Linked DNA regions of Callithrix jacchus. The protein of the gene in region 1 binds, or shares a complex with, the protein of each later gene. Links are inferred from orthologs where the notes say so. Each region holds a gene or a part of one and is shown in the gene's direction. Other genes may lie near its edges.

Region 1 (3,746 bases):
TGTGAAAGAGGTGAAACAAAGGCTTTTCATGTACTCCGGAATTGCTTGGATACTGGGATGTAACCGTGGCAAAGTTATTAAAGTTGATTTCTCTAAACCATTTACTCGAAAGGGCCACCTAAGGATAACTGGCTGTCTGCCCTTAAACTACATTTATTTTTAAAAACATAGTTTGAAAAATGATAGTCATCAAAGACTTACAAGACTAACCTTTTTTTTTTTTTTTAATGTAAAAGGCTGGTTCATAATATGCAAAGAAAGACTGCACATTTGCTTGCTACATTTAAGTTGCACAGTGTAATATATAGCCTTTCTCCCTCCTCTGGGTTACTTTAAAAATATTAAGAAGTTGGATAGTTATTCCATATTTTCAAAGTGGTTATAAATGAACTTCTAACTTAAATAATTCTAGCACTTTTTAATGACACTTCAATCTCAGTTTACTGCTTAAAGCTTCTTTAGATAAACATTTAAAAAAATTCTTAAAAAGTAGGTAATTAAATTTAATAAATATGAAAATAATGACAAAATGTTCAATGAGGAAAAGTGTTTATCCCGATATTGTGGCCAGAATGATAAGAAACTTCTAGAGGATGAAGTCTGCCTGGGAGGGTTTGCTTGTAAAAGTGATAGTTGATAGCATAACATCTGATTTTGTGTGTGTGTGCCAAGGGTGTTCCTTTCCGTCTTTTTCCTTTTTATAGGCTGCCACAATAGTGACACGTTTAATATTGATGAGTTTGACCTCCTGGGAGTTATCGTATATGCACCCTTTTTGAATACAAATGCTGTTTAATTTATATGGTAAACACATGGAATTTGGAGATTAGCATTTTAATCAACTCTAATCTCAGCATCTAATCTCAGTATTTTCTGCTTCCCCTACGGCTCCTTCTGTAAAAAAAAAAAAAAAAAAAAATCACGAACCAACTTTAGAAATGACAGCGAATGTCCTCTCCTGGAGAAGCAGGGTCTGTGTGTCAAACATAAAAGCAGCACCATGTGTAGTAACCTTTCTTAAACCATGTGTTCAAGCACATTAACAGTGTTCAATGAGATGATCAATTATTCAAGAAACAGAAGAATCCATTCATTCAGCAAATATTTATTGAACAGTCATGCAGAGGCAGGCAGGGGGTTGTGTATGTGGCCGTGACACGATGGCACCTCTGAACTGGAATTGGGCTTCAGTTCTTCCCCATGTAAAAATTTCTTCTTTTTTGTTTAACTTTTCTCGTGGCAGGTCCAGCAGCTCTGAAGATCGGAGTGCATCTTCCAGCAGACAAGCTCTTCGGCCGCGGACAATGCATTCGATTCGCACGGTGGAGATTAAAGTCCCCGAGATAGAGGAAACGTTTTTCGCGCCCAGGTTCCGCGAGGAGCCGCGCGGGGGCCGAGGGGGCGGCGGCGGCGGGCGGGGAAGCAGGCCCGAGCTGCGTCCTGCGCAGCCATTGGCGGGCGCCGCGCTCTGCACTGAGCATGTTCGCGCCCCGCCGGCCCCGAGCCGCAGCCGCAGCCGCAGCCGCAGCGACGGCAGCCACGGGAGCAGCCGCGCGTTATGCAAAGCGGCGGCAGATGCGAGCGGGGCCAGCCGGGCGCGCGTCGGCCTCCCCTCCCAGCGGCTCGCCCCGCAGCCGCCTGACTCTCCCGGGAGACTCCCCCGGCCCGGGCCCGGGGCCGAGGAGGGCCGCGATGGCCTGACTGCCCGCGGCGCGGCGGCGCAGCAGCGGGATTGCACCATGGGGAACCAGGATGGGAAGCTGAAGAGGAGCGCAGGTGATGCCTCGCACGAAAGCGGCGGCGGCGGCACCGAGGATGCGCTGGGGCCCAGGGACGTGGAAGCCACAAAGAAGGGGAGCGGGGGCAGGAAGGCGCTGGGCAAGCACGGCAAGGGGGGAGGGGGCGGCGGCGGGGAGTCGGGCAAGAAGAAGAGCAAGTCGGACTCCAGAGCCTCGGTGTTTTCCAACCTGCGGATCCGGAAGAATCTGTCCAAGGGGAAAGGCGCCGGCGGCTCCCGCGAAGATGTGCTGGATTCCCAGGCCCTGCAGACCGGGGAGCTGGACAGCGCTCACTCCCTGCTCACCAAGACTCCGGACCTCAGCCTCTCGGCGGACGAGACCGGCCTGTCGGACACCGAGTGCGCGGACCCTTTTGAGGTGACCCGGCCGGGGGTGCCTGGGCCTGCCGAGGCGAGGGTCGGGGGCCGGCCTATCGCCGAGGATGTGGAAACTGCAGCGGGGGCGCAGGATGGACAAAGGACCAGCTCGGGCTCGGACACGGACATCTACAGCTTCCACTCGGCTACGGAGCAGGAGGACTTGCTTTCCGACATCCAGCAGGCGATCCGCCTGCAGCAGCAGCAGCAGCTCCAGCTCCAGCTCCAGCCGCAGCAGCTCCAGGGCGCCGAGGAGCCTGCAGCGCCCCCCAGCGCCGTCTCCCCTCAGCCCGGGGCCTTCCTGGGCCTGGACCGATTCCTGCTGGGGCCGAGCGGCGGGACTAGGGAGGCCCCGGGCAGTCCAGACACTGAGCAGGCGCTGTCCGCGCTCTCCGACCTGCCCGCGAGCCTGGCCGCCGAGCCCTCGGCGCCCCAGCAGCCGCCGTCCCCCGGCAGCCTCCCGGTCTCCGAGGCACCCAGCCTCCCGGCGGCCCAACCCGCGCCCAGAGACTCGCCCTCCTCCACGGCCTTCCCGTTTCCCGAGGGCGGGCCGGGGGAGGAAGCGGCCGGAGCCCCGGCGCGGGGGGCTGGGGACACGGATGAGGAGGGCGAGGAGGATGCTTTTGAGGATGCGCCCCGGGGCTCTCCGGGGGAGGAGTGGGCCCCGGAGGGGGGAGAGAACGCCCCTCAGAGGCTGGGGGAAGAACCCGAGGAGGGGGCACAAGGACCTGGCGTCCCCGTGGCCGCTTCCCTGCCCGGCAGCCCCGCGCCCAGCCAGCGCTGCTTCAAGCCCTACCCGCTCATCACCCCCTGCTACATCAAGACCACCACCCGGCAGCTCAGCTCGCCCAATCACTCCCCGTCTCAGTCCCCTAATCAGAGCCCCAGGATCAAGAGGCGGCCGGAGGCCTCCCTGAGCCAAGGGTCCAGAACTGCCCTGGCCTCCGCGGCCGCCCCGGCCAAGAAGCACCGGGCAGACGGCGGCCTCGCGGGCGGCCTGAGCCGCTCCGCGGACTGGACGGAGGAACTGGGCGCCAGTACGCCCGGGGCGGGAGGCTCCGCGCACCTGCTAGAGCGCGGGGTGGCCGCTGACCGCGGCGGTGGGGTGTCCCCGGCACTGACCGCCAAGGCGTCTGGGGCGCCCGCGGCTGCTGATGGCTTCCAGAACGTGTTCACAGGTGAGCGGGCCCTGCGGCCGGCCTCCGGGTCACGAGTCGCCTGCCAATCAGGGCCTTCCCCTGCCTCCCGCCGTCCCTGGGTGCTGGAAGGCGGTGACCTGCTAGTGGCACGTCTCTTCCCCGTGGGGAATCCTTTTCCGCCCAGTGAGCTCACCCTCCTCGGTGAAATGCCTTGGACATACTTGTCGGTTTTCTATGTTCTCACAAGATCTTAGAGGGAACAACTTAGTTGCGTCTATGCTAAGTCATCTCAAGAAAAGGTTGCTCTGCCCATTTCACCAAAATGTCTACTGTTCACAATGTTTAGTGTCACGCCAGGGAGATACGGTCCTTTTTCATCTGGTTAGCGAAACCATCATTCTTCTCTTTTTGTTTCTCATCACCACAGCATTAAAAAGAAAAAATAATTGTTC
Region 2 (3,746 bases), on another chromosome or scaffold:
ATTAAATTCATTAACCAATGAGTGGTTAAGAACTGTTTTATTGCATACTTAATGGGCTGAGGGGCTGAATTATTTATTTTTACTTTATTATTATTTTTTGAGACGGAGTCTCGCTCTGTCACCCAGGCTGGAGTGCACAATCTCGGCTCACCACAACCTCTACCTGGGTTCAAGCGATTCTCCTGCCTCAGCCTCTCAAGTAGCTAGAATTACAGGCGCCTGCCACTATGCCTGGCTAATTTTTTTGTATTTTTAGTAGAGACCGGGTTAGCCAGGATGGTCTTGATCTCCTGATCCGCCCGCCTCAGCCTCCCAAAGTGCTGGGATTGGCTAATTGCCCTCAGTTCAATTTTACCACTGTGATATTCATTCCACATGTTGTGATAAGTGTGGTACCGGAGCACCTGCAAATTATGTACTAGATGCTTATATTCCAGGCCTTGATTTAGCTTTTGGGAGAAGTCAGTGAACAAAACTCGTAAAGATCCCAGTCTTCACGGGGCTTACCCTGAAGTTGGGAGTGGAGAGGGAGGTATTCAACCAACAAGAAATCGGAAAACGCACAGAGCAGGCACGGGGTCAGGGTAAACTGCGGGAGGCTTTCAGGGCTTAGGGCTCAGCAGGGAAGCTTCACTGGGCCAGCGTTTTCTTAGTCATCTGCTCCAGGGGTGTTCAAGCTCTCAACCAGATCTTCGTTCATCCAGCGCCTAGGGAACTTCAATGCGGTGACTTCTCCCGCTGTGCAGGGCAATGACCCGGATTGGCGCGCTCAAGATCCCGCCAGAGTCTGCCGGAGGCATCCCTGATAAATGCGACCCCCCTACTGCCCCTTCGCCCCCGACCGCGCTCCCAATCGCCCTCCCGCCCCTGGCCCCGCGTGTCCACCACGCCCTACCACCCTGCACGCCCTTCCTGGCCGCGCGGCCCCTATGGACAGAGCGTCGCCGCCCTCACCCCCGCGCCCCCAGCTGTGCGTCCCTTGCGACCGCCCTCACCGACCGCGCATCACCACCTGCGACTCTGCGAGCCCTACGGGTTGCGGTCTGCTCCAGATCTTGCAGCCTTCCCGCCTCGAGGCCCTCTCGCCAGTGCGTCTCCTGCAGAGCGCGCAACCCCCGGCCCGTGCGGCCCCCTGAGGGGCGGGCGCTGGGCGGCGCGAGGCGGGGCGGGGCGGGACGCCGGACGCCATCGCGTCGCTACCAGCCGGCTGCGGTCTGCCCGGGTCTGTAGCCGTGTCCTCGCCGCCCGGTGCTCGCCCACGCCTCCCGGGCCCTCGCCTTGTCCCAGCGGCGGCGCGCGCGCGGCCGCGTTGGGTGGCGGCGGTTCGGGGGATGAGGAGGCGGTGGCGCGCGGAGACGATGCTCCGGAGCTGAGAAGACGCCGGCACACGGCGCTACTGCCGAGCGCAGCGCCCAGCCGCGCGATGGCTCAGGCCGCCGGCCGGGCTAGCGGCGGAGAGCCGCGGGCTGAGGCGGTGGGCGGCGAGGGGCCGTGGGAGCCCGGGGCAGCCGGCGGCGATGCCGGGGGCTCGCAGGACGCACTGAGCCTGGAGGAGATCCTGCGACTCTATAACCAGCCCATCAACGAGGAGCAGGCGTGGGCCGTGTGCTACCAGTGCTGCGGCTCCCTGCGCGCCGCCGCCCGCCGCCGCCAGCCCGGCCGTCGCGTGCGCTCGGCTGCGCAGATCCGCGTCTGGAGAGACGGCGCCGTCACCCTGGCGCCCGCGGCCGACGACGCGGGAGAGCCGCCCCCTGTTGCGGGTGAGGCCGCCGGGCCCCTTTCCCTCGCAGTCTCTAGGAACACCCCCGGTCAGGCCGCTTTACCCTCACAGTCCCTGTCCCTTCCGCCCCTGCCACCCCCAGTTTGCCATGGGAGACCCCCGGCAGGCTCCGGCCGGGCCCCTGGGGGAGGGCGGCGTCAGGCAGTAGCCAGGCTGGGGCTCTTCCTAGATCAAAGCTTCGAGGCGGGCGGCGGCTCAAATAGGCTGTGCGGAGGGCGTCGGGGCTGGCCTGGTGGGCCTGGGCCTGGGCCTGCGGGTCGGGGGGGCCCCTAGTCATTGTGCAGCCCGCACAACAGCTGCCCCGCGGCGCGTTTGGGAGCGGTGGGCTGGGCCCTGCTTGGAGCCAGCTGCCTGTGCGCCTCACGCCGTGGCTGCTGACGCACGGCCGGGTTCGCGGGGTGGGGAGGGCACCACAGGCTTCACGCAGGGGCTCCACGAGGATCCTCATAGCCGCTGTCGGGAACACCGCAGTCCTCCCGGGAAGTTAGCAGTATTTCACATTAGACAACCTTTTCTCCGTTCAGAAATGTAAAGATGATTTTGAACCTTGAGGAGAATTTTGTATTTGGGGAGAAATGGAAAAATAGACTAAATAATTATTTTTGGCTCCTGGACATTAGAAAATACCGATTACATTCCTGTATGTGAAAATTCGTTGTGATGAAAAACAGGCTTATGAAGTAAAAAGTTGACAGGATGTCTGGATATATAGAGAAAATGGGCTTTAGTTACGTCATTGTCCAGTGTAAATTTTTCAGGATTATGAACTAAACAGTAATTTATAGCGGAGGTTTACTCAGATGCTATTGATGAAGAGGAGGCGGAGGTTGAGAAAAGGTTTCTCCCATCAATTTTTATCTAATTCATTCTTTTGAGAGGCAAGTCTATTAAAAACAGAAAAACAATCCACCCTCACTTTTAGAAAGTTGATGGAAGTGTCAAAATGCTTGAGATGAAAGATGTAGTATCGAATTAGTAAAATGACATTTAATGAAAACCCTCGTCTAACTTGATTTGAACAATATTCAAGATTATAGTTACTCTTTCAGTTCCGCCGGAATGTTTTTATCTTTTTTAGTGTCAGGTAAACAATTTGTTTATTTAAAGACATCTTTCGTGATTCTTTTGAAACTATTTCAAATAGTTTTTTTGTTGGGCTTATTGCTTTTAAACTTGGACTTAATCTAAGTGGGAAATACTTGCAATTATAATTTATAGTGTATTAATTGGTATAAAAACATACTTTTTTTTTTTTTTGAGATGGAGGTTTGCTCTTGTTACCCAGGCTGGAGTGCAATGGCGCGATTATGGCTCACTGCAACCTCCGCCTCCTGGGTTCAAGCAATTCTCCTGCCTCAGCCTCCCGAGTAGCTGGGACTAAAGGCGCACGCCACCATGCACAGCTAATTTTTGTATTTTTAGTAGAGATGGAGTTTCACCATGTTGACCAGGATGGTCTCTATCTCTTGACCTCGTGATCCACCCGCCTCGGCCTCCCAAAGTGCTGGGATTATAGGCGTGAGCCACTGCGCCGGGCCTTAAAAACATACATTTATAAAATACAGCATTGTTGGCCAGGCGCAGTGGCTCATGTCCCAGCACTTTGGGGAGCTAAGGTGGCTGGCTAACCTAAGGTCAGGAGTTTGAGAACAGCTTGGCCAACGTGGTGAAATCCCCGTCTCTACTAAAAATACAAAAATTAGCTGGGCATGGTGGTGTGCCCCTGTATTCCCAGCTACTCGGGAAGCTGAGGTGGGAGAATTGCTTGACCTTGGGAGGCAGAGGCTGCAGTGAGCTGAGATCATGCTACTGCACTCCAGCATGGGCAACAGAGCAAGACCCCGTCTCAAAAAACAAGAAAAAACAGCAATGTCATGCCTTGGGATTTAGCTATTTCCAGAGAAAAAATGGTTGCGTCCAACCTGCTTTTAGAAGCCACATTGGTAGTGGTGATTTCTGGAGAGAA

Evidence for each region. Proteins that work in one complex are often made in the same cells at the same time.
Region 2: the proteins of FMN2 (region 1) and SPIRE1 are in contact, whole or in part, in a crystal structure (PDB 2YLE), measured with the Homo sapiens proteins. The link is inferred for Callithrix jacchus from reciprocal best matches to the Homo sapiens genes FMN2 and SPIRE1. Residues at the interface, in NP_064450.3 of Homo sapiens: Ser1702, Leu1703, Lys1705, Ile1706, Lys1707, Pro1708, Arg1709, His1710, Gly1713, Ile1714, Lys1715, Lys1717, Ile1718, Lys1721, Thr1722; in NP_001122098.1 of Homo sapiens: Gln51, Pro52, Ile53, Asn54, Glu127, Ile131, Tyr134, Lys135, Asp138, Leu141, Lys142, Glu143, Asn144, Glu145, Glu146, Arg147, Glu148, Glu154, Ile157, Asp158, Ala161, Asn162, Thr163, Val164, Glu165.

Annotation. Positions count from the first base shown.
Region 1 is NC_133520.1:45,760,008-45,763,753, reverse strand, and holds the start of FMN2 (formin-2), read left to right. Parts: upstream 1-1,506; 5' UTR 1,507-1,739; coding exon 1,740-3,333; intron 3,334-3,746. UniProt on the Homo sapiens protein: Actin-binding protein that is involved in actin cytoskeleton assembly and reorganization. Acts as an actin nucleation factor and promotes assembly of actin filaments together with SPIRE1 and SPIRE2.
Region 2 is NC_133514.1:49,846,946-49,850,691, forward strand, and holds the start of SPIRE1 (protein spire homolog 1), read left to right. Parts: upstream 1-1,177; 5' UTR 1,178-1,423; coding exon 1,424-1,760; intron 1,761-3,746.